Linked DNA regions of Caenorhabditis elegans. The protein of the gene in region 3 interacts with the protein of the main gene of each other region in a pairwise test. Each region holds a gene or a part of one and is shown on either strand. Other genes may lie near its edges. The genes, in order: cri-3, prps-1 and pid-2.

What was found.
Region 1: the proteins of pid-2 (region 3) and cri-3 interact in a two-hybrid assay, tested with the Caenorhabditis elegans proteins (one large-scale study listed by BioGRID).
Region 2: the proteins of pid-2 (region 3) and prps-1 interact in a two-hybrid assay, tested with the Caenorhabditis elegans proteins (one large-scale study listed by BioGRID).

What each region holds. Positions count from the first base shown.
Region 1 is NC_003281.10:3,391,520-3,399,867, forward strand, and holds cri-3 (Conserved regulator of innate immunity protein 3), read left to right. Parts: upstream 1-5,065; 5' UTR 5,066-5,070; coding exon 5,071-5,342; intron 5,343-5,392; coding exon 5,393-5,577; intron 5,578-5,627; coding exon 5,628-5,731; intron 5,732-5,780; coding exon 5,781-5,930; 3' UTR 5,931-6,108; downstream 6,109-8,348. Other genes in the region: elmd-1 (ELMO domain-containing protein C56G7.3), read left to right, coding at 162-238, 579-706, 833-921; mlc-4 (Myosin regulatory light chain), read right to left, coding at 1,172-1,243, 1,698-2,045, 2,164-2,262; Protein clpf-1, read left to right, coding at 6,235-6,394, 6,812-7,009, 7,320-7,522, 7,574-7,725, 7,775-7,886, 7,940-8,023.
Region 2 is NC_003281.10:7,204,893-7,217,404, reverse strand, and holds prps-1 (ribose-phosphate diphosphokinase), read right to left. Parts: upstream 7,439-12,512; 5' UTR 7,298-7,438; coding exon 7,204-7,297; intron 5,970-7,203; coding exon 5,826-5,969; intron 4,875-5,825; exon of another isoform or gene 4,789-4,874; coding exon of another isoform or gene 4,758-4,788; intron 4,671-4,757; coding exon 4,513-4,670; intron 4,166-4,512; coding exon of another isoform or gene 4,154-4,165; intron 4,107-4,153; coding exon 3,592-4,106; intron 3,285-3,591; coding exon 3,111-3,284; intron 3,061-3,110; coding exon 2,901-3,060; intron 2,787-2,900; coding exon 2,691-2,786; 3' UTR 2,300-2,690; downstream 1-2,299. Other genes in the region: R151.1 (Protein kinase domain-containing protein), read right to left, coding at 693-879; rpl-6 (Large ribosomal subunit protein eL6), read right to left, coding at 7,650-7,802, 8,025-8,212, 8,411-8,594, 8,822-8,950; Zinc metalloproteinase dpy-31, read right to left, coding at 9,976-10,054, 10,106-10,231, 10,311-10,541, 10,592-11,015, 12,198-12,512.
Region 3 is NC_003279.8:89,864-98,924, reverse strand, and holds pid-2 (Protein pid-2), read right to left. Parts: upstream 5,904-9,061; 5' UTR 5,834-5,903; coding exon 5,789-5,833; intron 5,744-5,788; coding exon 5,369-5,743; intron 5,317-5,368; coding exon 4,910-5,316; intron 4,862-4,909; coding exon 4,717-4,861; intron 4,657-4,716; coding exon 4,357-4,656; intron 4,304-4,356; coding exon 4,211-4,303; 3' UTR 4,062-4,210; downstream 1-4,061. Other genes in the region: Y48G1C.8 (DUF7747 domain-containing protein), read left to right, coding at 1-630, 965-1,325, 1,933-2,099; Y48G1C.13 (Chitin-binding type-2 domain-containing protein), read left to right, coding at 3,613-3,688, 3,807-3,949, 3,996-4,061; natc-3 (Sm domain-containing protein), read right to left, coding at 6,277-6,402, 7,331-7,516; mtm-10 (Myotubularin phosphatase domain-containing protein), read right to left, coding at 8,318-8,506. UniProt on the Caenorhabditis elegans protein: Involved in gene silencing mediated by a class of 21 nucleotide PIWI-interacting RNAs (piRNAs) that possess a uracil residue at the 5'-end (also called 21U-RNAs) and that guide the Piwi protein prg-1 to its DNA targets for silencing.

The DNA.
Region 1 (8,348 bases), on a different chromosome or scaffold from region 3:
ACGAAAGTTTGAAACTACAGTACTTTTTAAAGGCGGACACCCTTTCGTATTTAACAAAAAATTGTCGTGTCGAGACCAGATACCGTATTTTTGGCAAAAAAATGTTTCAATGCAATCGCGCTCCGTGCACTTTTTTAAAAAACCAATAGAAAATTTTCCAGGATTTCCCACTTGCCGTTGTTTCAATCAATATTACGAGTATTTTATTAACACAACTGAAGAAAGGAGCTCTTGATAAGTAAGTCTGCGCAAAGGGCGCTTGCTGACGCGTTTCTCGTGCCACTTGGTTTTTTTTGAAAAGAAAAAAAAACAGCACACAAGAAACATGGCATTTTCCTAAAAGTTTGAAAAAAAATTGTTTAAAAGATATTATACCAAAAATTCACAGAACTGGCAAAAACTTATTTTAATTTTTGTTTTCAGAAATTTTGAAAAAAAAACGTTTCTCCTAGAATTTTGGCAGAAAATTTTTTTTTTTCAACTAAAATTCGCATTTTTTCAAATTATTTTCCAAAAAAACACCAAAAAATTCAAATCTCGCGCCACTTGGCACATTTCTCAATAGAGCACATTTACAGCTTTGGCAACGAAATCGAAGGACTCTATCCATTCTTTTCTGCTCTCCATGCATCTGCAATGTGCCGATTTTGCTCAATTTATAAGTCACAAAAGTGTACACTTGCCAACACTCAAACTATTTTCAGTGGTTAGTAAACTTTTTTTTTTCGAAAATTGGGCAATTTTCTATGGCCAAAATCCCGGCAAATCGGCAAATTGCCGGTTTGCCGATTTGCCGGAAATTACAATCCTGAAAATGTTCAATTTTTTGCAGAAATAACCCGCCAACTCGAAAAATCTCCATTATCCCTGATAATGCTTCTAAATCCGACGAATGACGAGCTCATCAATACCCTCCTGTGATGATTGAAACTTCCCGAGAAACGAATCTGTGAAAAAATCCTTAAAGATTATAGCTTTAAATTACAATAAAAATCAACCGTTTTCGAGTTTATTTATGCACATGGTATTGGGGGAAGTGGAATACAACAATAAATAGATGGTGTGAAAAAAAGCATGAATGATAATAATTATTTGAGGCGAAAAAGAAAGCGTGTGTAAGCGAACTGAATCTTGAAAAACTCGAGAATTTTGTGTGAGTTTGCGAGCCAGTTTAAGCCTCATCCTTGTCCTTGGTTCCGTGTTTGAGCATACGAGTGAACTCCACGTAGTCGAATTGTCCGCCCTGAGAAAAAAAAAATTGAAAATTGGCTTATTTTTCAGGAAAAAATAAATATTTTAGGGTTTTAGGATTTAAAAAAAACTATTTTGCATTGGAAAATTTGGTAAAAATATGTGTTTTTTTTATAGAAAATTGTGTCGATTTACGCAGATCGTGTACTCCCCGTGGAGAAGTTTGCACTTTTTTCTGTTGAAAAAACAAGTAATTTCAACATCGATTTTTTTCCTTCAAAATCTACAATAAAAAGCGAAAATTATCGCAATTTTTTGCAAAATAAAGAAGCAAAAACTTCTTCACTAGGAGTACACGACCGGCGTAAATCGACACCAAATTTTCCGGCTGATAAATCGAAAATCTCTGAATTTTCCACGATTTTAAGAGGTCCAAAATCAAGCTTTTCGAGCCAGAAACTCCTGTTTCCCTTCTTTTTTTCGTTCCGAAGTTACAGCGATTATACCTTAATCGGAGCATCTCTAAAGAGCTCATCAACCTGTTCCTCGGAATATCTCTCGCCCATCGTGGTGAGCAACTCGCGAAGATGCTCCTCATTGAGTTTTCCCGAATTATCCTCATCGAAGCATTGGAACGCATTCCGTATGACTTCCTCCGGATCCGTTCCAGTCAATTTTTCACCGAAAAGTGTCAGGAACATTGTGAAATTGATCGGCTGTGCTCCGGGAGCCTCGTTAATCATCGAATCGATGAATTGTTCGGTGACTTCTTTTCCAAGGGAAGCGAACATATCCTTCAGATCCTCTTGATCGATGAATCCATCGCGGTTTTGGTCGATCATGTTGAATGCCTCCTGAAATTGAATTTATTTTAATTGTTCTTTAAAAATTCCGCTGAAACCAATGGATTTTTCGTCTTTTTAAATTTTTATTTTTTCGAAAAAAAAAACGAAAAATGAGGCTGTCACCTACTTTGAACTCTTGAATTTGAGCCTGATCGAACATGGCGAACACATTGGAAGTGGCTCTTTGTGGCCGTTGACGGCGGTTTACGGTTTTGCGGGAGGCCATGGCTTACTGCAAAAATTTGAAAATTTGCGATTTTTGAGGAAAAAATAAGGTCTCGACACGACAAATTTATGTTAAATACTAAAAGGTGAGCGCCTTTAAAGAGTACTGTAGTTTTACTAATTGGATTTTTTTTCTCGAAAAATCAATGAAAATTCGGGAATACAGTACTTTGAATTTAATGAAAATTTGTCGTGTCGAGACCTTTTTTTGATGCAAAAAACGTCTAGACTCCTCGAGGAAAAGAGGAAAAAAGTTTCCGTTGTTTTTTTGTGAGAATTTCAATTTTTGGCCGAAATTTTGATAATTTTTGCAAACTAATATTGTTTTTAGCATTGAAATCGCTAATTTATCGTTTATTAGCAGTATTTTTGAAACGAAAATTGATATTCTCTCAAAAAACGATGAAATATGAAGATGGTAGAAACCAAAAAAATGTGAAAAAAAACTGAAAAGATGCGGGGCGTGGAAAATATTATTTGATAACGAAAAAGCGGTGAGTCACCGCCGCAAAAAATGTTTTGTTTCAGTTTTTTTGTTTCCTATTACGATTGGAAGCGAGGTTTTCGAAGGAAATATTGATTCTCAGCGTTTGTCGCCTTGGAAAGGGGATTTGAACCGAAATATGACACATTTTTGAGGGAAATGACCGAGAAACGGAGAAAAGATTAGAATCTAATAGGCGGAGGGCATATTTAGGATGTCAAATGAGGAAAAACGGAGCGTAAATTATTTAAAATTTGCACTTTTTCGTTTTTCGGCAAAAAAAACAAGGAAAATCAGTTTAAAAGTTCCGGAATTTTTTTGCAAAACTTGGAAAAATCATCAATTATTTTCAATTAATGTTAATGTCAGGGGTGGGCGGCAAATTGGCGGAATTGAAATTTCCGGCAAATCAGCAAATTGCCTATATGGAAATTTCCCGCAAATCGGCAAATTGGCGGAATTGAAATTTCCGGCAAATCAGCAAATTGCCGGAGTTCAAAATTTCCGGAAAATCGGCAAATTGCCGGTATTAAAATTTCTGGCAAATCGGCGAACTGCCGGAAAAACGACAGGTGCCGAAAATTTTCGGCAAAATGTGGTTTTGCACCTTTTTTTGGAAATTTCAGAATTTCAATTTAAATCGGCAAAATTGTACGCACCCTATGAATGTTCCTACGTCTATTTTGAAAAATAAGCAACTTCTATGAAAATTTCTTTAAAAAGCGGGATATAAATTCCAAAAAGGCAGTTTTAAGTGGTTCCGTCTTATAAAAAGTGCCTCTACACATTTCCGGCAAATCGGCAAACCGGCAATTTGGCGATTTGCCGAACAGCACTTGCCGCCCACCCAATTCCCGGTATAAAAATGTAGATTGTTTAATATTTTCCCCCGGCCAAAATTCACATTAAATGCGACGAAATGCAATTTTTTTTTCCTCAAAACTGTAGCAGAAAATGGAGAATTCTCTCCGGAAAGCAGAAAAAACGTTATGAAGTGATTCACATGACTGGCAAACATAACATAAACGGAAAAGAGCGGAAAAACAATCGATATTCTTCGGAACGACGGGAGAAGCAGTGAAGAGAGTGAAGAGACGGAGAGAAGACAGTTCCCATTCGTTGTGTATTTATACGGAGACAGTTCCTTTCGAATGTGTGTGAAAGGACATTGGAATGAGGAGGTATATATGATGACTTGCCGATAAACAAGATATTCCGACGGAATACGGAATACGATTTAATTTCTGGGAGGTTTTGGGAACGGAATTTGGGGTCTAAACACTATGAAATACCGAAAAAATGGTTTTTTAAATTTGAAAGTACGCCAGTTTTTGCCCTAAATGACAGAAAAAATCCTCACTATACAGGACATTACTGCTGAAAAATTAATAAAGATTTCCTGAATTTTGTTTGATTTTTTAATTTTTCCAACAAAAAACCGAATAATTTTTGAATTCCCGCGCAAATAAATGTTTTCTAGATCGGTTTTTCTAGATTTTTCATTATTATTTGATTTAAAACATGATTTTTCGAATTTTAAAGAGTTTTTCCGTTTAAAAAACGCTATGACCTCGAAATAAATACACTGAAGCTTCAAAAATTCCGAAAAATGCCAGAAAACAAGTTTTCTAGACGAAAAAACTTCTGAAAAACTGAAAATTAATGAAAAATCGAGAAAAACCAACGATTTTAGCCAGAAACACGAAATTCGAAAATTCAAAAGTATAAAAATATTCCTTAAAATCGATAATCTCCTAGTTTAATCAATAATCTTCAAAAAATTCTAAACATAAATTTCGCAATGCTGCTTTTTCAAATGACTCATGACTCATCGCGCCAGCTGCGCAGCTCTATTCCATGTTTTTACAACAAAAAATCGATTTTTCTGGCAATTTTCAGTTTTATTATATAATTTTAAGCCCAATAGTCAATAATTTCAAAGAAAACGCACTTTAAAATCATTTTAAACAAGAAAAAATCGATTTAAAATGAGAAAATATGGCTGAAAAACGTTTGAACACAATTCCAAAGCGCGCCAAGTTAAAGGCGCATGCCATTTTGCGGCGAAGATATCTTGCCACGAAAGGCTCTATTTGAATTATTTTCGTCGGCTTTTCGCATATTCTCTCGCTTTTTCTTCGGTTCTGCACGCTTCCACTGATTTTTTCGAGGTTTTTCATTGAAATTATTGATTTTTGACAACTAAATTAGCCTAAAATCAATTAGAAACGCTTTATAACCTGATAATCTTGATTTTTAGCTCGATAAAAACTTGCATCATTTTTGGAAAATGTAATTTTCTATTTTTTTCTTCTTTCAGGTAAAATGAACACTGCTTCCCTTGTTCGCTCCCTGTCCCGAGTGGCTCTCCGTTCATCCCAGGTCGTCAGAATGGCCGCTCCACGCCATTTCTCACAATCGGCCAAGGTTCTGTCAGTAACGCCAGAACTTCAACAGGCCCTGAACCGTGAGATCGAAGCCGAGCAACAGCTGAGCAGCGACAATCTTCAAGGAGCCGTTGCGCCGACATTTGCTGGCTTCCAAGTCACCAATAAGGACGCCGAAGTTAGGCTGACCAAGAAGAATGGAAGCGAAGAGTTCGTTTTTTTCAGAATTTTTCATAGTTCTAAAGTTAATTTTTTTAAAGCATTCTCGTCGTCTTCAATGTGAACCACTCTGTCGATATGGACGAAGGATTCGACGATGAGCCATCCCAGGCCGTCGCTCCAGTTCCAGTAGCCATGCCACCATTCACCGTCGAGATTACCAAGGGAGATCAGAGACTTTGCTTCCATCTCGAGCTTGTGCCAGTTGACGATCAACCTGATGAGTGTAATACTCGATTTTATCGAAAACTCGAATAAAATATATACTATTTATAGATGATTTCCGCGTCGAAGAGTTCTACGTCGCCCCATCTGCCAAGAATGGAAACGAGGACGTACCATCCGAGGTGTACGCTAGCAGTGGAAAATATATCGATCCAGTTAGTAGTCCCAAGAGGACCGCAAATTATTGATTTTTTCTAATTCCAGGACCTCCACGATCTCCTGTTCGTTCGTTATTTGGAAGAACGCGGTCTCGATGCTCGGTTCTGCAAGACTCTCGTCGCCTATGCCACTCACTACGAGCACTCTCAATACGTTGGACTTCTCGACAAGATCAAGAAGTTCATCTCCAAATAGATTGCTTTCTGAAATTTTTTCAATTGTTTTGTTTTTTCTGTCTTTTATAACTTTACTGTTGACGTTTTTAGGTAATCTAAATAAGTAGCACATTTTCTTTCAGCTCGTTTATTTTCCTTAGTTTTTTGTTCTGTTTTGAGGTTTCTCTCCTCCAAAAATAATAAACCCATTGTTTTTTTCTTCTTTTGTAGTTTTCCGCATCCCAAATTTTTTGTAAATTAACTATGTCTTTGCTTTATCTAATTCCGCGTTTTTTCCTGAAAATTAAAAAATCAATAAAGCCTCATTTTCAGATTCCAAAGAAATGAGCGAGGAGAATGTTCAAGAGTTCGTTTTGAAAGAGGACTGTGAGCTGAGATTTGCCGCCGGAGACGATTCGGATGTCTGTCTGGAGCTCGTCAAGGGATACGCTGAAATTTTTGGCACAGAACTGCTGTTAAATAAGAAATATACATTTCCAGCCAGTAAGTTTTCCTCGAAATCTGGATTTTTTTTCAACTTTTCAAAAACTCCCGTTTTCTGGCTATATTTATTGCTCTTTCTCCGTTTTTTTTCTGTAATATTTCGCTTGAAACACTGTTTTCCTAATGTTTCCGCAGAAAAAGCACAAATTTCTGTGAAATTATCGACTTTTAGGTCAATTTCCAAGTTTTAGCGTGTTTCTTTGCGGTTAAAGTAGAGAAATTCGCTGAAACTTCATCTTGAAACTTGGCCTAAAAATCGATAATTTCAGATGTAATCATTTGTTTTATGCGGAAAAGTCTGGAAAACAGTGTTTTAAATCAAATATCACAGAAAAAAATTGAGAAACACCAATGGATTTGGCCATAAAAGTCAATTTCGGCCCATTTTCTGCCATTTAAAACCCAATTTTTCCTCAGAATCTCGTGTGGCGGCGTTCACGTGGAAAGGCGCCACAATTGAGCTCGTCGGCACAACCGAGAGCGCATACGTTGCCGAGAGCACTCCGATGGTCATTTATCTGAATATTCACGCAGCTATGGAAGAAGTTCGGAAGAAGAGAGAGGAACAGGCGGCTGGAAACTCGAATAAGGCAAAAGGACCGAGATTGCTGTTGGGTGAGCTGATTCTAGGCTTTTTTTGGAGATTTTTCGTCGAAAAACTGAAAATTTCTGTGGTTTCTGCAGGAAAATCGAGTAAAAATCATTTGAAATACTGGAAAAATCAATATTTTCAAGGGGCGGGGGCTATTTGCAAGCCTGGCACGGTTGTTTTGCAACCGTGCCGCACGGCCCGCCCACCTTTTTATTTTATTTTTTTTCGGAATTTAAGTAATTTATTTTTATGTTTGGCTTCGAAAAATGTAGAAAAAACCTTGTTTTCCGGTTTTTTACTGATTTTTAACCCAAAAAATAATTAATTTTCCAGTTGGACCAACGGACGTCGGAAAAACCACAGTCTCCCGTATTCTGTGCAACTATTCGGTTCGCCAAGGACGTACCCCGATATTTGTGGAGCTCGATGTCGGTCAGAACAGCGTTTCGGTGCCCGGAACAGTTGCAGCTGTTCTTGTACAAAAAACAGCCGACGTCATTGATGGATTCGAGAGAAATCAGCCGATTGTCTTTAATGTAGGCTTTAAATTTATCAAATAATTCACAATTTTTCCCAATTTTTTCCAGTTTGGGCACACTTCTCCGTCGGCAAATCTATCTCTCTACGAAGCATTGTTCAAAGAGATGGCAACTACACTAAATGCACAAATTCAGGAGAATGATGAAGCCAAAATCGGCGGAATGATCATTAACACCTGTGGATGGGTTGATGGGGAAGGGTTTGTCGTTTTTTTCGCTGAAAATCTGTTTAAAATAGCTCAATTTCAGATACAAATGCATTGTAAAAGCGGCATCGGCATTTGAAGTCGACGTGGTTATTGTGCTCGATCACGAGAGGCTCTACAGTGATTTGAGTAAAGAATTGCCGGAATTCGTCAGAGTATGTCGCGAAAATCCTTGTTTTTTGTTTGAAAGTTAATCATTCATTTACAGCTCACACATGTTCCAAAATCCGGTGGAGTTGAACAACGAACCGGGCAAATTCGTTCGAAAATGCGCGGAGAAAACGTTCATCGGGTAGGTTTTGTCCTCAAAATTCGAAAAATAAAGTTTTTCCAAAAAAATCTTTGATTTGCACTAGAGACATCGACAAAAATCAGCTTTTCAGAGCTGAAATATTCGAAAAATGAATATAAATTGAAGGGGCGGAGCTTATTTGCAAGCCTGGAACGGTTTTTCCGCAGCCCTGCCGCACGTGCTAAAAGGCTCCGCTCTATGAAATTTTTTGCAGTTTTTGAGTGATTTTGACAAGTTTTCTGTATTTTTTGTCTATTTTCTATTGGAAAACATTTGATTTAATCGGAAAAATATATATATTTGAATTTTTGAGCTGAAAAATTAA
Region 2 (12,512 bases), on a different chromosome or scaffold from region 3:
TTCTCGATATTCTCATCAAAGTGATTGAAGAGACACAGACAGTGAGAGAATAGAAACAGAAAACAGTTGGCTTTTTGGGATTTTGGACAACGGGACCCCAATCATCAGCAGAAAGTGTACACTACTGGGAGATGAGAGATGCGAGAGAAAGGTACCCACTGAAAATTGACAGGCACGGGCACGAGGAATGATGAGGAAAAATTGTGATCTTCAGAAGGGTCAGGTGCACACTCTGAGAAATAGTATGGTGAATTGAGAGACTTGAGACAAATAGTTGTTGATCACTAAGGAAACTATTTTGAGACGATGAGCAGATGCATCAAGATTAATGGTTGCACTAAAAGTGGAGCGAATCAAAATTTTTGTCGACTAAATCTGTATTTACAGAAAGCCAGAGTTGTCAAAAAGTTGGCAGGTGTTTAGAAATTTCAAAAGTTTTTTGCTCTACATGTCACTGAAATCAACTGAAATTGTTTTTAATCGATACATCATTAACCATCTACAACATCCGTTTTCGCTTTCCAAGAATAGCTCATTAAATGCTAATCTGCGTACCTAGGATATTGACACCTACATTTCTGTAAATATAATGGCCGCTAGGATTGAGTTAAGAATTAGAAGATTATGCATTCATATGAGTTCGATTTATCAATTTGGTTATAAACTCTCATATTTCATTACCAGCCACTTACAATGTGAATCTCCTAGATTATCCTTTCTCGGCCGTTTCGAACATTTTGCCAGGCAATCTCCAAACTCTTGACTTGTATCCAAATGAGAACAAGACTCTACGCAATCGGATCGTTGTTCGAATGCATTTGATTTATTTTGTAAGAAAATATGAATTAATAATAATATTAAGTAGAGGTGTATCCTCATAGTTCGGAATAATCTGAAAACAGAGTTTGGTTTTTTTCGGTAAAAATAATTTAGAAGGGGAAGAGTATGAGACAATGGGGTTTTTGAATACATTTAAAAACATGTTGTTACTTCGAATATCAATCAAAATGAAAACTGTTGGTATGATCAGTATTAATTAAAAAACAGGACAAATAATAAATATTTTCAGTAAGTTTGAAACACGAATTCTTGCTTTCCTGGGCAAGATTTTTCAAATATACATGATTCAATTATGATTCACTGTTTTCCAAAAAATCTGAACCATGGGTCTTGTCACGAACTAAACATTTTAATTGCCGTACTTGCGAGTACGGTAGACAGTAGCTTTGCTCAGCTGTAACTTATTTTATTTCTTTTAAATTTTTTTTCAATTCGTATTTTTTTACATTAAAACGATATTTTAAAAAAGGAAAAACTAAGAAGGAACAGTGGAGAAAATTGGAATACAATCACAAAAGTTTAGTAGGATACTGTAGCTATTTAGAAATGTTCTGAATGAAGTTAACTAAACACAGTTCACCTAGATATAAAATCAAGTTCTCATATTTATAATTTCATAAACTTGAGCATAATTTCTTCGAAATGAGTGAAAAGTAAGATGAAGAGAGTGAGAAGCACAGAGAGATGTGTTGTTAGATAATGTGTATCTCTAAATTGCGAGACACAATGGTTCTTCGCTCTCTTCATTTTCGTGAGATGTAACCGATCGGCCAGTACTGAGAGATCAGTGAGCAAGCAGATTTGAGAGATCACAGACAGAGAAGAGTCAGTTGTTCAGAGGTTCGGATGATTGTATGAAGATCCAGGAGGACGGCACAAGGACAATGAGTCCATGGGAATATCATTCTAATTGTGTTGAATCTGTCCAGTTGAAGATAGTCCCGACCTACCTGACCGCGAAGGTTTTTTGTGTGACCGCATGCCTTCTTTGAACTTTTACCGCAAGCTTTAGAATATTCTGAAAATGATCTGATCTAACACAGATTTTCACAATTATGAGCAATCTCTTTCCGAGCGAATGAACCATTTTAAAATTTACTTGTTTCCCCGCGCTATTTCATCTTACAAGTACGGTACTCGGTCTTGGCACGACCAAAACTTTGCGAATTGAAGTGAGTATTGAACTAATTGCATTTTTGCCTTTTTCTGGGAAAAAAAGAAGAAACATTACTTCAACAAGATCTTTTGAGAAAGTAGCATAATTGAAAAGAAATATTCTAAACATTTATTATTATTATATTAGATAATTTCAGCCGAAAACATTGAAACTTCCTTTTTCGAAGTTGTTATACTTGTCGACTTATGTACGTGTGAATTTACAAATTGTGCACATGTATTTTAACCTACATCTGACTATCTCAATTAGATTTTCAAAATTGTCACTCATCCAAGAAAGAAGAAACAACATGTGTATTCAACGAAATTCACAAAAAATGCTTTTGAACACTTCACAAGAAAACATCGTCGTTCAGAATCTCATTCACAAAAAACCTGATAAACAGTTGAATGCAATTTGAAGACATTTTAGGAAGAGAAAATGAGCAGAATCGAATGGTAACAGAGAAAGAGGACAAATGTTCAAATAGTGGAAATACGAATGGAAAACTGAAAAGAGAAATCATCACGCAACTACAACAAGTCAACTGAAGCGAATCTTGGATAAATATAATTTGCAATTGGGAAATGTTTGGGTAGTTGAATAGTTGAATACAATAATTTCGGAGTTTAAAACAAATAAACATAGGATATTGAGGTTACGTCAACCCGGAAAAGCCATAATTTTAACCGATTTAGCATATCGGGACGTGTGAGAAGAGATATGATACAGACTCTCCATTGTGTGTACGGCGGATTGCTTCTGCCAAGATCATTGAGATGTCGATACACTGAAAAAATATGAAAATTGATAAACATTTCAATATTTTTCATTTCATATACGACTACGCATTTATGGAGAACTTTTTATCATTAATCAAAATTGATATTCTTGTAGTTCTCACCTGGATCTTCGAGCACTTCTTCATATTCTCATCTTGGGGAATTGTGTTTGTCACGACGACAGCTTCAAACTTTGAAGCATTGAGACGAGTGAGAGCTGGTCCTGAGAAGATTCCATGAACACAGAAAGCGTATACTTTGTCTGCTCCGGCTTCAACCAATCTGAAATTTTGAGGTTGTAGTAGATCGATATGATAGTATTTGATTCTCACTTGTCGGCTGCCATGCAAATTGTTCCACATGTATCAGCCATGTCATCAACCAAAATCGCCACTTTTCCTTCGACGGATCCGACCAAAGTCATCTTCTCAACTTCATTGGCACGTTTGCGTTCTTTGTGAATCAAGGCAAAGTCCACATTGAGACGATCGGCAATGGAGGTTACTCTGAAAATTTTTATTTTGAAAACAAAATCGGCAGATTTCCATAATACCACGCGAAAAAAATATTAAAAAATACCCGGTCATGACATTTTTTTGATAAATGCAGGAAGGAGAGATCCTTTGAAGAGTACTGTAGTTTCAAACTATCGTTGCTGTTGAATGTTCACGTAAATCGACGCAAGTTCCGCAGAAAATGTAAGTTTGAAACTACCGTACTCTTTAAAGGTGCGCATATTTTTCATTTGACAAAAATTTGTCGCTTTGAGACCGGGTGCTGTAGTTTTGGCACAAAAAATGTTATTTTTCTCACCTCTTGGCACCTCCGGCATCCGGAGATACAATAACCGAGGTCTGCCAGTTTGGAATAGATTCCTTGATGTACTTCAGAATTGCTGGCTCAGCGTACAAGTTGTCTACCGGAATATCGAAGAACCCTTGAATCTGTGATGCATGTAAATCCATTGTGATGATATGATCAGCACCAGCAACGGAAAGCATGTTGGCGACCAATTTTGCCGAGATCGGAGCTCTCGATTTGTCTTTCTTGTCCTGCCGGGCGTATGGAAAGGCTGGAATAACGGCAGCAACACGACATGAGGAAGCGATCTTGCACGCGTTGATCATAATGAGAAGTTCCATCAGATTATCATTGATCTCTCCAGCAGCAGATTGAATAATGTAAACATCTTCTCCACGAACCGATTCTCCAATTTCCACATTGGTTTCCTTGTTACTGAACTTCTTCAGTGAAGCTTTCGAAACCTCCAATTGAAGACGTTCGCAGATTCTGGTAGAAAGATCCGGGTGAGATGAGCCAGAGAAAACCTGAAATCATAATGTAAGATCGCAACATTTTGATTACAAACATTTACCGTTGGGCTCATTTTATTCTAACTGATAAGTTGCCAAAACTATTCTAGAGAGAGGCTAAAAGGACACTTCACGAGTATCTTTGTGTCAAGAAATTCCAAAAAAGACAGAGGAGACTCAGTATCAGAGACAAAAGAACCGACACAGATATAGATAATAACAGCTAAGAGAGACGCAAAGAAGCTTTACAAAACGTTCGTTGTCTTTCTCTTGTCCTTGAAGATTACCAAAGGTCCCAAGAGAAACTGAAAAAGCTTTCCTAACGAGAAAATTTTATAACGTTCGTATCGAAGGATCTAGGAATTTAATAAACAACTTTGATTTCATATATTGTTGGAGGAATTGCACTTTCCAAGCTTACCTTAATGTTTGGCATTCTGAGATCTTCTTCGGATGAGCTTTGAGCTGTTTCAACGTTAGGATGTACTGCTAGAGAAGATGATGAGAAGAATGAACGAGGAGGAGTTGGATGATGGATTGAGTGATCTTTGTGCAGATGAGAATGATCCACACTTTTGTCTGCAAATATTTTTCAATGAAATAGTTAATAGTTCCAGATGAAAGCAGAGAGTGAAAACGCGATTTAAAATTCGTAATATTCAATACCTTTCATTAATTTAAATAGTCCTCCGGCCATTTTAGTAGGGTTAATTTATATTATATACAGATAAAAGTGAAATGAAAAGAATGGTTCAGCCGGGAATTGGCTTGAATAGTTATTCTGAAGAAGCTATATTTATAGTGCATTATCAAAAAGTAGGCGGGATCACGATGTACTGATAACTAGTTAATTTTATCAGTAATCGTATAGCTGAGTACATTTAGGGTGGCACAAAAGTTCAATTCAAAAGGAAAAGTTAATTTTAATTTTTAAAAACGAACATTTTCCTTTTCAATAAAATGAAGAGCTAAGAGATTTCCGCAAAGAAAATAAAATTGAAAACTGCGGACGGTTTCCGATACTCAATTTTCAATTTTCACTCTCACGTCGTCTCCGTCGTTGACAAATCGCCCTTTTTCTTATCAAATTCGCCTCAAAAACTGTTTCTTCTTTGCAGGCAGACGGAGACAATGATGTTGGGAGAGGGATTGAGGTGAAGAAAATGGAAAAATGAGATAAGAATATAGTTTTCGGTGAATTATTAACTTTTATTCGTAGAGTTTTATAGTTTCAAGTTTTACGTATTTGTACGTTTCTACATAGGTTCATAGTAAAATTTAGAAATGATTATATTTGAAAGTGCTTTTTTGTTGACAATCTCGAAAAGTTTGAATAATATTATAGAATGTGAGCAATAAAACAAGAAGTTTTGCGATTTTTGCCACAGAAATACGCTCCTGTCTCGAAGCGACCGATTTTCGTTAATTTCAAAAAAGTGTGCGCCTTTAAAGATTACTGTATTTTCTAAATTCTCGCTGTTATGAAAAAACTTGGGGAAAGCTAGCAAAAATCAATCCATATCCGCAACACCGATGAGTTAGCAAATACAGTACTCCTTAAAGGCATACACTTTTTTGAATAAAAAAAACGATCGCTAAAAAACGATCGCTTCGAGACCGAGCACCGAATTTTTTGGAACAAAAACCGCGAAATTCTGCAGACACGGGAACGCCCGAAATTTCTGTTTAATAGGAGTGTCATTTTCAGAAGCTTCAAAATTTAAAATAGCTTACCAAGTGCAGAAATGTCCTGATTCGGAGTGTCGGACGGCTTTAAAAACACCGTTTGAGTAGTCTGCGTCGCGACGGGAGGCTCTGTAAGTGACTCCGTTGGGCGCGTTGATCGACCGACGAATGGGTCGAGGATGTCTTCTGGAACTGGGAAAAATTAATAAAGAAACATTTTTAAAAAACGCGAAAATCAGAGAAATTAAGATTCTCGAGGGATAGATCAGTTCGCAATAGATCAATTGAGAATAGATCAAAACAGCAATATGGAGGTTGAGAGAAAGGTGAAGAAAGTTGAATGCGGAGATATTTTTTTAAAATACAATTTGGAATTTATTTTCAAGAAAAACAAAAGAAAAGGGTTGAATTTCCAGTTATTGAGAGAAATTTCCTTTTTTTGTTGCCACGGAAACGCTCTCGCAGAATGTAGAGCAATAAGAAAATTCAGCGAATTTTAAAATAAATTCAATTTTGAAAAATGAAAGGAACAAAGTCCAAAAGCTAAACTGTCAATTTCGATTGTATTCTTTTGTTCGAAAGTAAAGTTGAATATGAGCCGAATGAAAAGTTCAAAATTGATAACATTGATAACAAAAAATTATATCTGAAATTATAAGGGAATCAAGTCAAAATAGATAGGAACTCAATTCGACTGGTAACAAAGTATGTTGCAAAGGCTGACGAACCAGCCAGTGAAAATTCAATGTTTTATCACATTTTTGTGATTTTTTTTGTCAAAGACATATTGTTTGATGGAGAAAAAGGCCGATGTGTGTGTTGACCGATTGTGATGGATAGAAAGAAGAAAACAATTGATTTGAAATTCTGAACGATGGGGGCATGGAACGATTAAAAACAAGAAAAACGTAGGTCAGTGATTTTTTTTTAAATAAAAGAAGGTAAGAGCAGCTGAAGAAATACCAGAAAATAAAAAGTTCATCTTCAAACAGAGCTTGCAACGCTCGCAAAAACTCGAAAATGAATATTTTCTCTGTCGTCTCTTAGAATATATGTATGCGAGCAGAGACATGGAAACTGACAGACGCATGACTTATTCGGGAGAAAAGCAACGAAAAGAAACGGATTATCCAAGCATAAATGCACGCAAAGAAGGCACCTGTGTAGATGAGAATTTTAATTGGAAACTAATTGAGATACTTTTGAGGTGATAAGGACGAGGAGAAATGGAACAAAATCGAGAAAACTAATCTCTGATTTGTTTTCTTTTGTCTCGTGGGAAATGCAAACACTAGAAAACTTTGCTCCTCTTTTTTGTAATTTTCTAAATCTCAGTCAGAATATGAAAATGTAGCAAAACTTCAGAAATTAAGCTTGAAAAATAACATATCTGAAAAGAAACTATGTACATTCGTTCATTATTAACCTGGTAATGTAGGATGTGTTCCTAAAAACTCGTTGCGGGCACTTCGATTGTGCTTCTGGAAGCGAAATAGACGATCTCGAATGCCTCCAAACATCGAGATTTTAATAGGTAATACTTGGAGGTTATTCTCTGGAAAGGTTTGCTCTAATGTGAAAGAGAGTACCCTTCATTGAAAATATTTAAATCGATAAACACTGGAACGAGTTAGCCGATTTCTTTCTTCAAATTGAATTTTCTGAAAAACCGCGAATACAAAATTTGTATGATTACCGTAGTTGATAATCTCAACGATGCAAGTAGCCTGACAATCTTTCACCTGAACAACCAAGTAAACCTGCTAACACGCTCCAAGTTTATTCAGAATCTGACTGACGATGTCGGCAGAGGAACAAATTGATGACGAATAACGAACAAATGTCAACAATTTATTCAATAACAAAATACATTTAGAACTGCATCTTGTGTGGATACTGGTTCTTTCCGAGTGAGAATCTCGTTCCAAGGTATCCGAAGAGGAACTTGTGCTCTGGGTGCTTCTTGATGGCAGCGAGGATTGGGGCATCAACGGTCTTGATGTCCTTCTTTCTCTGCTCGGAGACCTGCAAAAAATAAATATGAAAATCGAAAAGATCACTTTAAAAATTTATCTACATATGGGTTATTCCAGAAATTGTGGGAAGCGCTTGACACTCTCCGTTCACAGAAAAAGTGATGAAGAGTAACAGTGCGCCTCTCTATTATCTCGCATCAAAATTATACGAAACAATCCATAAAGATAGCCCGTCCCTTTTCAATGCAAAAAGCGATGATAAATAACCTACGGTGTACTCGGTCTTTCCGGAAGCAAAGATGTTCTTTCCGGTCTTTTGTGCGGTGGACTTTCTCTTGAAGTACTCGTCGTTGATGTGCTCTGGGATCTTGACTCCGGAGACGTTGACCTTAAGTGAGGTAGCGATCACGAAAGCTTGTCCGATTCTGCGAAGTGGGAATCCGTTGATCTTGTGTGGTCCTAAACATTTAATTTATTTGAATTTACAGCTTTTAAAAATAAATGTGGGAAACGCTTGACACTCTCCAGATACAGGTAACGTAAGGAAGAGTAACACTGCGTCTCTCTACTATTTTGCACCAAAATTATACGAAACGATCCATCGGGAAAGTCCGTCCATTTTCGATGCTGTATCTTTGAAATACGCGTTCAACTAACCAGTGACAAGGAGAAGTCCGGATTGTGGGAGCTGCTTCAAGAAGACAACACGCTTTCCCTTATGACGTCCAGCGAGAACGATGAGGACAGTTCCTGGAGTGAGAGTCTTGCGGAGAGTGACAGTCTTGGAATGTCCGAGAGCGAATTTCGTTCCGTTTCTTTGAAGTTTTGGAAGCTTGGCGCTCTAAAACTAATTTGATTAGTATAAATTTTGAAAACAATTTATCTTGAAAGTTTTTTAATTTGTAGGAAATGTTTGGGAATGAGGTGAAGTCGGGGAGCGCAAAAGCAAGCCCTACTTGCATAATACGACCAATTTCATTTTCGAGAAATCCTAGCACCCTAACTGCATTTTGCTGAAAAGGTGACTCTGGACCTCGTTTAAGAGATTTTATTGAGAAAAAAACGTACAGTGTCCTTGGTGAACTTCGGCTTCTTCTCTCCTTTCTTCAGGCGAAGTCGGGAAGCAGAGAAGCGGAGCACTCCTGGGGAGAGGTCGAAGTTTCTGCTGATGACCGGAAGGTTTCTCTTTCCAACCATTTTGTACCCTGCAAAATAATTAATTTCAACTCTGACCAACTATTTAACAAAAACGACAGACATATTATGAATTGGATGATTAAAAATTATTTTTTGATTAAAAAAGAGATCAAGCAATATGAATCCTAAAATTTAAAAAACATGTAAAAAACGATTTCTGGCAAAAAGAACAGAGAATTAAATTGAATAATGAACCAGAATTTTAATGGGAATCATGTTTTTACATTTTTAAACTGGAAATAACGTTATTTTTTCTTAAAAACATGTAAAAATCGAAAAAAGAATTAAAAAGCACGAAAAAATCAGCGAATAGGGCTTGTTGCCTGAGTATTCAATGCCTCGTCGCGGCGAGACCCGCGTCTGACTACGGTGACACTCGTTTTACGTGTGTTATTTCTCCCTGTTCTTCAACACAAAATGCAACTTTTTCATGAAAAATGTTTATTTTTATATATTTCAGAAAGTTATTTAGGCAATAATAATAATTATAATTAAATCAAAAAATTGTTAATTATCTGTCATAAATTTTAAAAATTAGTTTTTCAAAACGAAAATTATTAATGTAAAATGTTTTTTGCACCTGATCAGGTACCTGAAAAATGATCAAATGAAAACAGATCGGAATTGTAATTCCTCACCAGATAATTTATTCAGTAAAAAATCTTTCCCCATCTTAAATTCGATCAGATCACCCAGCGGAAATATTTTCGAAGTTCTTGAAAAGGTTTCTAAAACGAGTTTCATCTAAGTCTCATGATCTATTCGCCAATACCACCGCTGTCTGTCCAAACAAAGCATCAAAAATATTTATTATATCAAAAACATGGTCAAACTCGTTCAATCATACACACAAACTCGAAACAACATAAAAAGAGGTGGTATTTAATTTAGAAGAAGAAAAATGAAACAGTGAAAATAAGGATTATAACAATTTGGTTTGATTAGGAATTGGCCCGTAGCTTCGTAAGAGTTCTGTAGGTTACAGGATAAAATATGGAATTGAAATAATGGATACAAATTGGTGATCACCGGACACATCTGCCACGCTGAAGAGTGAAACCTGGACAGCACGCGTTCTCGCATGGAGCCATCACCGTCTTCTCTCTGAAAAAATGAAATTTAAAATTCAAAGTTTTGGTTGATTGAAGAACTTACTGTCTACAACGGACGCCTCGTAACAAAGAAAGGAAACCTCCACATTGACCCTCTTCCTCCCGTTTCTGAGCGCACATACCCGTACAAGCTTGAGTATTGCAAATTTGTGTTTCTACTGGCTCCCCACTGAAAAATTTACAGTTATTTTATATTTTCATTAGCTATGGTTATATAAAGGTCCAATTGATTAGTTTGGGAAACGTACGAGCATGCATTTCCAGGTGGACATGTTCGGGTTCTCATGCGACTTCCGCATGCTCCACAAGTTGCGGAACATGCCGTCCAGGGGCTCCAGGAATTCCAGTTACCCGCCTCTGGTACTGCACGGGCTCTTGCTTCAAAGCCTTTACCACCACGGTAGAAGCTTCGGAAAAGTACAACCATATCAGTAGTTGCAGAACGGATTCTAGTTGGAGGAGTTCCATAGCAACAATATCTGGAAATTATCATAATGTTAGGTAATTACTATGCAATTACAAAATATACCTCATTCCAGTATTTGCAAAATCAGTAGAGTTTCTAACTTCTACGTAGTCCATGCACAAAGAATGTCTAATTTTGCAGTACATCTCAAATTCTCCAATAAACTGAAATTCTACAATATGACCTGGTGGAGCAACGAGAAGCCATGAGCATTCTTGTCCTTCTTTGAATTCTCTTGGATATCCAGGTGATGATATTCTAGTTGTAGATCTAGTTAAACTGATTTTTCCACCACAAGTGGCTCCGTATCCAGGCATCACTTGTTCGCAGTATTGCCCGGTGAATCCATCAGGACATCGACAACGATCACAACGACGTGGATCCGTGTATCCTCCACGTTGACATGGAAGTTTTGATGGGCAGACTGCGGAGCAGTAGATTTTATTCATTAGTCGGATGTCGTTAAAAGATAACTGATCACGTTGACCTGGAAGATTATTTTTTAGCAAGTTCCTATTACCTAGAAGTGAAATTTCCGCGACTTTTTGTGCCAAAAATACGGTACCCGACACGAAAAATATTTTTAAATAAAAAATATGCGCTGCTTTCAAGAGTGCTGTAGTTTCAAACTTTCGTTGCTGCTGAATTTGTATCGGGTTTTCATAGTTTCTATAAAATAAAATAAATTTGTCTGATACATTTATGTGAAAAATGTTGAACGACACAAGAGAAAAACAAAATATAAATCGATGAAAATTGAGCAGCCACAAAAGTTTGAGACTACAGTATTCTTTAAAGGCGCGTACCCTTTCGCATTTCCCACAAATTTGCCGTGTCGAGACCGGGTACCGTATTTTCTGGCAAAAAAATCGCCAATTTGCACAAATACGTTATTATTTTTCCAATCCCAATTCTGTGCATGTTTACTTTATGCAATTTAATGGAAGTACATTCACACTGATCTCGCCGCGCCAACAATATTTATTTTGAAATTGTCCGTACGAACCTTAAAGATTACTGTTGAAATTGGTTGTTTTATAATAAATTTATCTTGTTGCTCTTGATTATAATAAATGTTAAACTTAATATTGAATACGGAAAAAAAATACCGTATATTCTCTATTAGTAAGGCGCCTCTATTAGTTTTGCACCCCTTCACTTGTTCCCTATTTTTAGGAATTGAAAATTTGCATTAGAAAATCGTTTTACAAATCAGGAAAATTCTTACAGACTTGGTATAACAAGTCAAAATTGGCAAAATATGAGTGCAACTCGGACAGTTTTTGCGTCCATTTTGCATTTTGCTTCACATTATTTATTCGTCCATTTTGCTTCACAAGGTCTTACTGAAATTGATGATATTTGCCATAACTTAATGGGAAACATGAGAAAACCCTGTTTGAAAATTAGTTTTGCACCCTATATTAGTTTTGCATCAAATTAGGTGTCCGAAAATAAGTTTTGCACGCCTTACTAATAGTGGATATACGGTATATCTAGGTCCCACAGTAATTTAAGGCGCGTGCACCAACTTTTTAAAGATAACTGCTGGGCGCGCGACGAGACCATTTTGAATAAATTGGCATCCCTTGAAACTCACTGGGTAAAGATTGAGATAGAAACATCGTGTATATTGTATAGTTGTGTATAATTGGAAAAATAGACTTACCAATAGTTTTTTGATAATCCGTGACATAGGTACTGATTGTATACAAATCATCAAACTTTGAGAATGCCTTGGACCGGTAATGCATGATACTTCCATAATCATATGGTACTCCAGCATTATCAACATCATCAGGATCTTCTTTCAAGAATTGCCCCTTTGAATCTTTATCAATATTTTCCCATCTAACTGTTACATATTGATCTCTATCGGGTCTCGATTGTTCATGCCAGAAGCCAAGAGCATGTGCAACTTCATGAGCAATAACTCCTAATCGAATACATTCAGGTGCAAGTGAAACAAGTTGTTCTTCTCCGA
Region 3 (9,061 bases):
ACCCTTCCACGTTGTCCACGTCTTCGCAAGAAGGTGACGTACGTGTTGAAGAATGGCCATCAAATCGGCAACGCAATGATCATTTACTGGTACACTGAGCCCGGCGAGATGCCGGCTCCGGTTAACGTGAGCACGATGAGCTCCGCTCAAGAATACTCACTTCAACGTCTTCCACCACACATTCGGGAGGATGTGCTCCGGCTGCTCGCGAGAATGACACCTGCCGAGGTGGCTAAAGTGATTTTGGAGAAGTATGGGATTCAGGTGAACACGAAGATGCTCTATTATGTACGACGTCGTGAGATTATGGCGGCGACTGATGGTATTCGGGATGCTGAAGATGATCATGATCCGTACGAGTTGAAGAATGAGATGATTGTTTCGGCGGCGGCGGGTGATTTTGTGGATGATTGGACGACTGACACGGCTGGAGCTTCAGCAGAAGCTTCAGAAGGAGGATCCAGAAAGAAAAATGTGCATCTTGAGGAGATGCTCGACGAGCGAGAGCTTCAGGTTTCACATACCGAAGAGATTCAGCAACCATCATCATCCCAGCAACAGATTCAGCTGCCGTATAGAAAGGCGAAATATCAGGAGCCTAAAAATTTTGGGCAGCAGAGTAGTGGCTTGGTGAGCAAAGGTTTTGAAATTTTTCAGAAGTATATATTCATTCATATATATTATTCGGAATCGGGGAAATTTCGGAGTCATTAAAAAAAATTCCTGGATTTTCTGCAATTTTCGGTTTTGTTTCTACGTGGCCGAGTTTCTCCGTTTTCACGGCCACGTAATCAAACGCCCGTGTATGTGCTGAAAATCCAATTTTTATCTAATTTCGTCGTTTTCAACGGAATTTTTTTAAACATATCTGAAAATAATCTTTTGAAAGGCTATTTTTTCGTCGAAAACTCGAATTTCCCAGCTCCACATTTAATCTAAAAATCTGAAATAGTAATATTTCCAGCCTCTATCACAATCTGGAATGGCGCGTGGAACAAGTCGAAACGAGGCTCTCTTCCGTATTGCCAAGAACTCATTTGGCTCAGCAACCGACAACGAGACATTCGATTTGCTCTTCAAAATGCTCTTCGAAAAAAGCGAACATCGTCTCTTGCAAATAGTGAATCACACGTTTGGAGTCGAAATAATGGCTGGAGAAGAAATGGATAATGGAGAAATGCATTTGCATATGGCTCCTGATGGAGCAATTGTTGAGGAAATTGTCGAGGAAGAAGTTATTGGGACAGTTGGTGATGATGTTAATTTGGAAGAAGAAGTGCACGAGAATGAGCCTAAAGTTTATACTGGGGAGAAGCAGATTAATGGTAAACAGATTTTCTGAAAAAATCCAAAATGTATTCATTTTCCTCATATTTTTACCAAAAAATGTGAGAACGGATTGATATTAAAAAATTGCAAAAAAATGTATTAAATTTTCGAAAAAAGATAAAAAAAATGTTTCACTGAAACTTCATTTTTTGGCAGGTTTCCAAAAAAATTGAAATTTTTTTTCTAGTTTCTCTGAGCAAAAGGTTGACCGAAAATGTGTAATTTTTGATAAATTTTACATTTATTTTGCAATTTTTCGAGTTTTTCTGAGAAAGAACACCGAAAATATTGCAAAATTTTTTCAAAAACTGCCCATGTCAGGTTAAAAAATAGAAATATCACAGAAAATTTTGCGTTTTTCAAAAAAACTCACACACACACAAAACCGAAAGAGAATGAGGACGAAAAATATATAATTATTGAGTTTTGTGAAGTTTTTGATTTAAAAAAAAATCAATAATTATCGTTTTTTTTTTTGAAATTTATAGAAAGAAAACTCAATAACTATCTAATTGTGTGGAATTATCTGAAAAATAGAAATAAACACAGAAATTTGTCGATTTCTTGTCTAAAAAATGTATTTTTTAATTCTATAAATTCCAGATGTCCTCGAACAAGTGGTTGTGGAAGAGCCAAATCATCACGACGATCATCCTCCGCATGAGCTGCTCGAAGAAGATGCTCTCGTGAACCCAGATGATGTGATAGTCGACCCCAATCAGCTGATCATTCATGATGACGATGATCAACGGCAGCAGAATATCCAATGATCTCGTTTTTTTCCATTTTTAATGTGCTCTGTGAGCTTTTTTTTTCTTTTTCTCTAACCTTTACCCCTTTTTACGTGCCTTTTCTCGTTGTTCACCCACTTTTTGTCTGCCTGCCTACATTCCTACATGTCTATTTGTAGGCAGGCATTCATTTTTCAAGCCCTAGTGGCGTGACCTTTGATCTCCTCTTACCTTTTATAGTTTTTTTTCTATTTTGTTACACACATTTGAAGTTGACCCCCATCTCCTCATCTCCCCCAAGCATGGCCTAGAAATTCCCGTCCAGGAGAATTCGGCCGCCGCCACGTGGCACAAAAACACTTTTTCAGTCTAATAAATCCCCCTCTTTTTAATTTTCATTCGAAAAATTCATAGTTCTCAACGGAATGATTGATGAAGCACGCGGGCTGATGAGCGGGTTTGGGAAGCTCCAAGATTTCTGGAAAAAAAATCAATAGTGGTGGCATAGAAAAAGTTAGGAAATGCGGCGAAAAAAGCGATTTTTTACTGGGGTTTTGCAAAAAAATTAGTGACCATCGATTTTTGCGAATTTCCGTTTAATATCGATTTTTCAGAAAAGTGCAAATATCTATTTTTCTGTTTTAGAAAAAAAATCAATAATTATTGATTTTTGTGCAGCGAAAGAAAAATTCGTCCAAGTTGCGAAGCGGCGAAAAAATCGATAATTTTCCCTGACCAATTTTTTTTAAATTGAACCACTTTTTTTGGATACTTGACAACTTTTTAGTGTTCGAAGATCAATTTTGAATCCTTTAACTAGAAAATTAATCATTTTAGATTTTTAATGGTTTTTGATGGGTTAAACCTAGATTTTCTGAATTCTGCATATATGAATTACCCGTTTTCAACAAAATTAGACAAGTTTTTATTTTTGCCCAATTTTTTTCAGCCATCTAATGACTGTCCTTTTTTTTGGGCAAGAAAAATAAATTTTCTAAAAACGTTTAAAACTATTATATTTTGAAAAAGGACAATTTTTTAGGGCTTGGAGACCAATTTTAAGTTCTCTAGCTACAAATTGAACCAATTTAGAGGAGTTTCAAAATTGTGAGTTTTTGCAAAAATTGCCAAATTTTGCCACTTTTTAATGGTTTTTGATGGGTTAAACCTAGATTTTCTGAATTCTGCATATATTAATTACCCGTTTTCAACAAAATTAGACACTTTTTATTTTTGCCCACTTTTTTTTCAGCCATCTAATGACTGTCCTTTTTTTTTTGGGCAAGAAAAATAATTTTTTGGAAATTATACAAACCTACTATATTCTGAAAAAGGGCAATTTTTTTGTCTTAGAAAATCAATTTTGAGTTCTCTAACTACAAAACTAACCATTTTATGGTAGTTTCAAATTTGTCAAATTCCGTACGGTTGAAAACCCCCCATAATGACTCATATTTTCCGGTTTTAATTGAAATAAATGTTGCTTTGTTTTCTTACAGCTCAAAAATTCCTATAAAAACCAAACGAAACCCCCAAAAACAATTAAATTTCAATGCTTCTCCCTATCAAAATTTTCCTAGTTGCTGGCTTCCTTGTCGATGGACAATCGACTCCTACAAAAAGCTATCGTAAGTTGAGGTTTGGATCTCGCGGCGAGTTTATTGATTTTTAATTGAAAAATCGATAATAAACAGCGCTTTTTCCCGATTACTGTAGTACTTCGCTGCGAGACCAACAACTTTTCAGCGGTACCGAACCCATTAAACGGTACATGTCAATATGATGGTCTGGCCATGGCGGATCCATACGATCCAATGATATTCTATCAATGTTGCAAATATATGTGGTTTTTTCAAACTTGCAACGACGGCATGGTTTTTGATAAAATTGCGAGTTTGTTTGATTGATAAAAATTTCAAACCCTTTCCGTTTCAGAAACTCGCCTGCGTTCCATCTTCTGGTTCTTCTCAAAAACTGGCAGTTAATCAGAAAGTTTTTTAATTGCTAATTAAAAATATACGTTAATTTAGCATGAAACATAGGACATAACAAGTAAAGAAAAAGGGAAAATTGAACAAAAGAAAAAAAACGGGAAAATACTTTTTAAAATAAGGCAGAAGAAATACAGAAATATATAAAACTTTGAGTGATCAAAATGGGCACTCGCTGAATCCTCGTAGTGATTTGAGGCAATAATCCGGCTGTTTCATGCAGATTGGTGAACTTCGGACTTCGGATTTCAGCTGAAAATAAGAAAATTTATCGAAAGCCTTTTTCTCTGGAAAATTGTGCTTACAACGTGCTCTTTCTGATACTGATCACGCATTTTCCGAACAGACGGTGGCCACGTCTTCGGGCAATAATTCAGAAAGCGTCCTTCGGTAATAATCATCACGACTCGCGGGGGTCCGGCGATAAGTGCTTCGAAATATGCAAACGTGCTGTTCTGATAGCACGGAACCACGAACGCCATCATGCTTCCCTTCGTCGCGTATTTTTCACCCGCCGACTCAATGATTCCGATTTGATTTGCACCGGCGAACACATTAACGTGACCCTCCAATCTTTGAGACTTCAGCCAGTAGCCGTTCGGTGTCTGGAAATAGATAAATAATTATAAATGCTGTTAAAATTTAATATTAAAATGATTAAGCACCTTCTTTGTAACGACTAAATCATCGAATCTGAGCACTCTCGCTGGCCATAAATTGCGCCCAATATTCGGATCCTTCTCTGATTCTTCGATGAGTGGCTGGAACGATGATATGGTCCATTGAATCGGGGAACCATCGGGAATCGAGCTGAAAATTTGGAACTATTATTCTTTTTACGCGTTTTTTTTAACTAACAAGTTAAATTCCGCCTTGACAGTAATATGGCACATTCGCAACGGCGCGAAAATCTGCATCTCGGTCAGCAGCAGCTTCCGTCGAATATTGGCTCGATCCGCGGCACTCAGATAGATCGGTCCGACCGCATCTGTCCAAACCATCGTCCTGTGCGTCTGATGATCGTCGTCCAACACAAAATCAATCCAATTCACTATCCCGAAAATCCGAAGCTCGACGCCTTTGTTGTAACGATATTTGGGACTGATTAGACCAGTTTGAGGAAGGGACGAGTGAATCGGAAGCACTTCGTACAGACCGTCTCCGATGATTTTGTACTTCACTAGCGGCGTTTTGTCGATCGAATCCGTCTGTTGAGGCGTGAGAATTATGCGTTGGATTCCGCCTCGATAGCTGTAGAGTAGGTGCTGAAATTTAAAAAATGAGATTGAAAATCAAAATTTTTTTCGTAATTCCTACTTGATAATTCGCCTTATCCGGCGTTTTCTCCTTATTAATCGCCAAAGCGATGTACCAATCGTGATCGCGGTACTCGACAAGCTCAGAGGCCTCGAACTTGTCATCCTCGCTTCCTATTCTTTCGATCACCGCCCAACACTCGTTCTCGACGTCTTTTTCGTCGTCCTCGAACACTTCTGAGCCATCTGCGGGGACATTCATGTAGAACCGTGGGCCCACGTCGAAGTGATCCGGAATTTTCCGGCTCGAACTGACGCGATGTTCCTTCGACTTGCTGGACACGGTTTTGATCTCCTGAACCGGTGGATGCTCTTTCTGGTTATTCTGGACCGGAACTTCTCTCAGAATTATCCGTGGGGGCTCGGGTGGCAACATCTCAAAATTGGTTATTAGATTTTACGGCGAAATTTTGAAAAATACCTGTTTTGATTGAGGTCCCCAGTGTGACGCTATAATAACTGTCATATTTCAGCGCTACAAGTAATAAAATATTCAAAAAAAAGTCGCAAAAAGACTTGAGAAAAAAATAACTCGAAATTCGAAAATTAAACTCCTAAAATTAAAGGCGCAGGCGTTTCCCAGTTTGGGTCTCGATGCGACATTGTCGTGTACTCCACGGGGACTTCGTTTACCATGAGTGTTTTTTGAAAAACGACAATGCATTGCTTTTTTGTGGAAAACACGAAAAACGTGAAATTTTAAACATAAAAATTTAATATTTTCCAGTCTTTGTACATATTCAGCATTTTCAACTGATGGCGCGCGGTTCCAAGTGAAGCCTGCGATTTTTTTTCGAATGTTTTTTCATATTTGGATGAGATGAACAAAAATCGCTTCGATAAAAATTAATTTATATTAATCTTGACAAGAAAAGGATGGGATAAATTAGAGAAAATAAGAAAACTGGATCAAATTTCAGTTTCTTTAGGGTCCGGCAACGCGTGCATCGATTCCACGTGCTTTTTCGAGATCATCGCTTGCCCTAGAAATCGGACTCCTTTCAATTGTGGATCTTTGTCCCATCGCTCGTCTGCCTGGAAATTAAAAGAAATTGCTGAAAGACAGAGAAGCACTGGGATTTTAATATTATACGATTTTTGGTAACAAACCCTAATTCCAACCATTTCAGCGTTGGAAACCTGAAAAAAACTTGATTTTTCATGATTTTCAGACAAAATCCTGCCTTTTCTGAAATATTTATTCGTGAGATAGAAAATTGTGTAGTGCCGCGCAGAAAACGGGGTGGGCGTTGTTTTGCAAACCTGCGGCGCGTCGGCTCTAGTGTACTACTCGTGGAGAACTTTTTGGTTACAATACACGATTTTTTGTTATTTTCGCTTATTTTTCCGTGTTTGACATTCGAATTGGTTAAAACTTGTCATTTGAATCCAGAAAAGAAAAACACGAAATTCATCGTTTTTAACCGCAAACCTTATAAATAATCGATCGTTCAAAAGTTAAATACTGAAAAAAAAACAACGAAAATGAAATAAAATCAAGCATTTTTTTCAAAAAAGTTTCGATTTTACTTGTTTCTTTCTCTTTCTTTTCGAATGAAAATGATATCCAATTTAATTCTAATAAGATTAAGACTCTTAATTTGAGAGGATATTCCATGTTTTTATATGCAATTTAGCATATGTGAATTATTTAGAATGAATACCATTTTTATACAAAAAAGAGAAAAAACAAGTACAATCGAAACTTTCTTGAAAAAAAAAGTTGTGGAAAAACCATGCGGCAGTGTTGCGATGTTCCGCTCCGCCCCACTCTCTGTGTAACTCAGATGTTTGCACAATTCACGGATCGATCATTTTTGCAGTAGCCTGGTAGCCGAGAAAATTGCGAAAACTAAGCCAGCAATAGAAAAAGGCGGAATGTTGTTTTGCCTGCGGCGCATAATTTTAAGGAAAAATATTTGAAACTATGAGCTTTTGGACCAAATTTTCATCAAATTTTTACCTTGTTGAAAACCATATTAGCGTCCTTGTCAGTGGCGATCATCGTGCCACGTATGTACCGCCCGTCGGTCATTCGAATTTCATAGCGTTTGCCAATGTATTCCAGCACTTTCAGATGGGCTTCCGACTTTTTCGCGTTCTCGTGTCCCTTCAACTGAATCAAATCGGTACTTTGATCGTCGCACATGCTAGCTGTCAATCGTCTTGTTCTTTTCATTTTAGAGGGGGGGGGGGGGGTCTGGAAAATCAAATAGACATGGATGACGCCACCAATAATGAAAATTTCAAAAACATTAAGAAAAAAGTATTTTTTCAGTCCGTAAAAATTTAGACATATGTATCACAACACAAAATATGTAACAAGTTTTGAAATGAGAAAATAATCACATTTTTGTCTAATTATGCAGAATAAAAGTGAAGTAGGTTCCCGCCACGGGGTTTTAGAGATTTTTTGGTAGATCAAAAATAAATTTGATGAAAATTCGGAAAGAAAACCGATAACTCCAAAATGCACACTGAAAAATCGACAAACTTTCAAGATTTTTTCCAATTTTTTAAAAATTTTCCCTTGAGTGTTTTTTGCACTTTTTTTTTCAAAAAAACATTTCCAAAATTTTATTTGAAAAAATAAAATCTTAAAATTTTAGCTTAAAATCGATAATATTTAGATTTTCTCCAAATTTTCCAAATTTTCGAAAAAATCGATAATCGATCGACTTTTCGAAATGAAAAAAACCGTGGCGGGACTAAAAAAGCATCAAAAAATACATAATTAACCGGGCATATATGAAGGAAGTAGGTGACAAATGAAAGAAAAATGGGGTAGAGCTGAGGGGCAAGCTTTTTTTTATAACTGGATGAAAAAATTCAAAAAATTCAAAAAAATTGAAAATTTTTCGACGTGACTACTGTAGCTCAATTTAAAGGGGCATATTTATAGAAAATTCCGATTTTGAGCGGAAATTAAAATAAAAGTATAACTTTTTCTTCAAAATCTTGTGACCCGAATAGTAGGGCTCTCTATATCATCTCGATGAGCTCTTATCTCGGGGCGTGATGGGGTCAGTGTTCCTAGGCCCTGCGGCCGGGGCGGGGGAATTGGGCGATTGTCGGCACGGACGGTGTTGCTCCGGTGAACGGGCGTCGGGTGAAATGGGGTGTAGGAGGGCGATGGGGACTGAAACATGGAAATTATTAGGGAAACGCATATTTTTAAAGAATTTTTTGAGCACATTTTAAATTTAATTCTTAAAGTTTTTGAAATTTTTTCTTCATTCAAATTTTGAAGGCAAGAAAGTGAACGATTGTAGATTTTTAAAAAATTTTGTAAAGCAAAATTTAAAAATATGATTCTAGAAATTTTTTCATCAATATTTTATTGAATGTTAAATACAAAAAAAGATAAATTTTCGAAAATCGAAAATCAAATTTTTTTAGAGTTTTGCAGAATTTTTTATAATTTCGAGTTTTTAAAGGTAGAATGATGAGGCACCACGGTTTCAAGATTCGGTGGAATTCCGGATTTAGGGATTTTGCGCTGAAATGAAGAATGTAGATCCGGAATCCCACCAGATCTTGAAAACGTGGTGCCTCAGAATGATAAATTAAACATTTTAATTCCACAAAATTTTCATCGAGTTTTTATCAAATTTTGAAGGCGATTGATTTGAGTGAAATTTTTTTTGGATTTTTTTTTTTGAACTTTCGAATTTTTCGAAAAGTCTTAAATGAA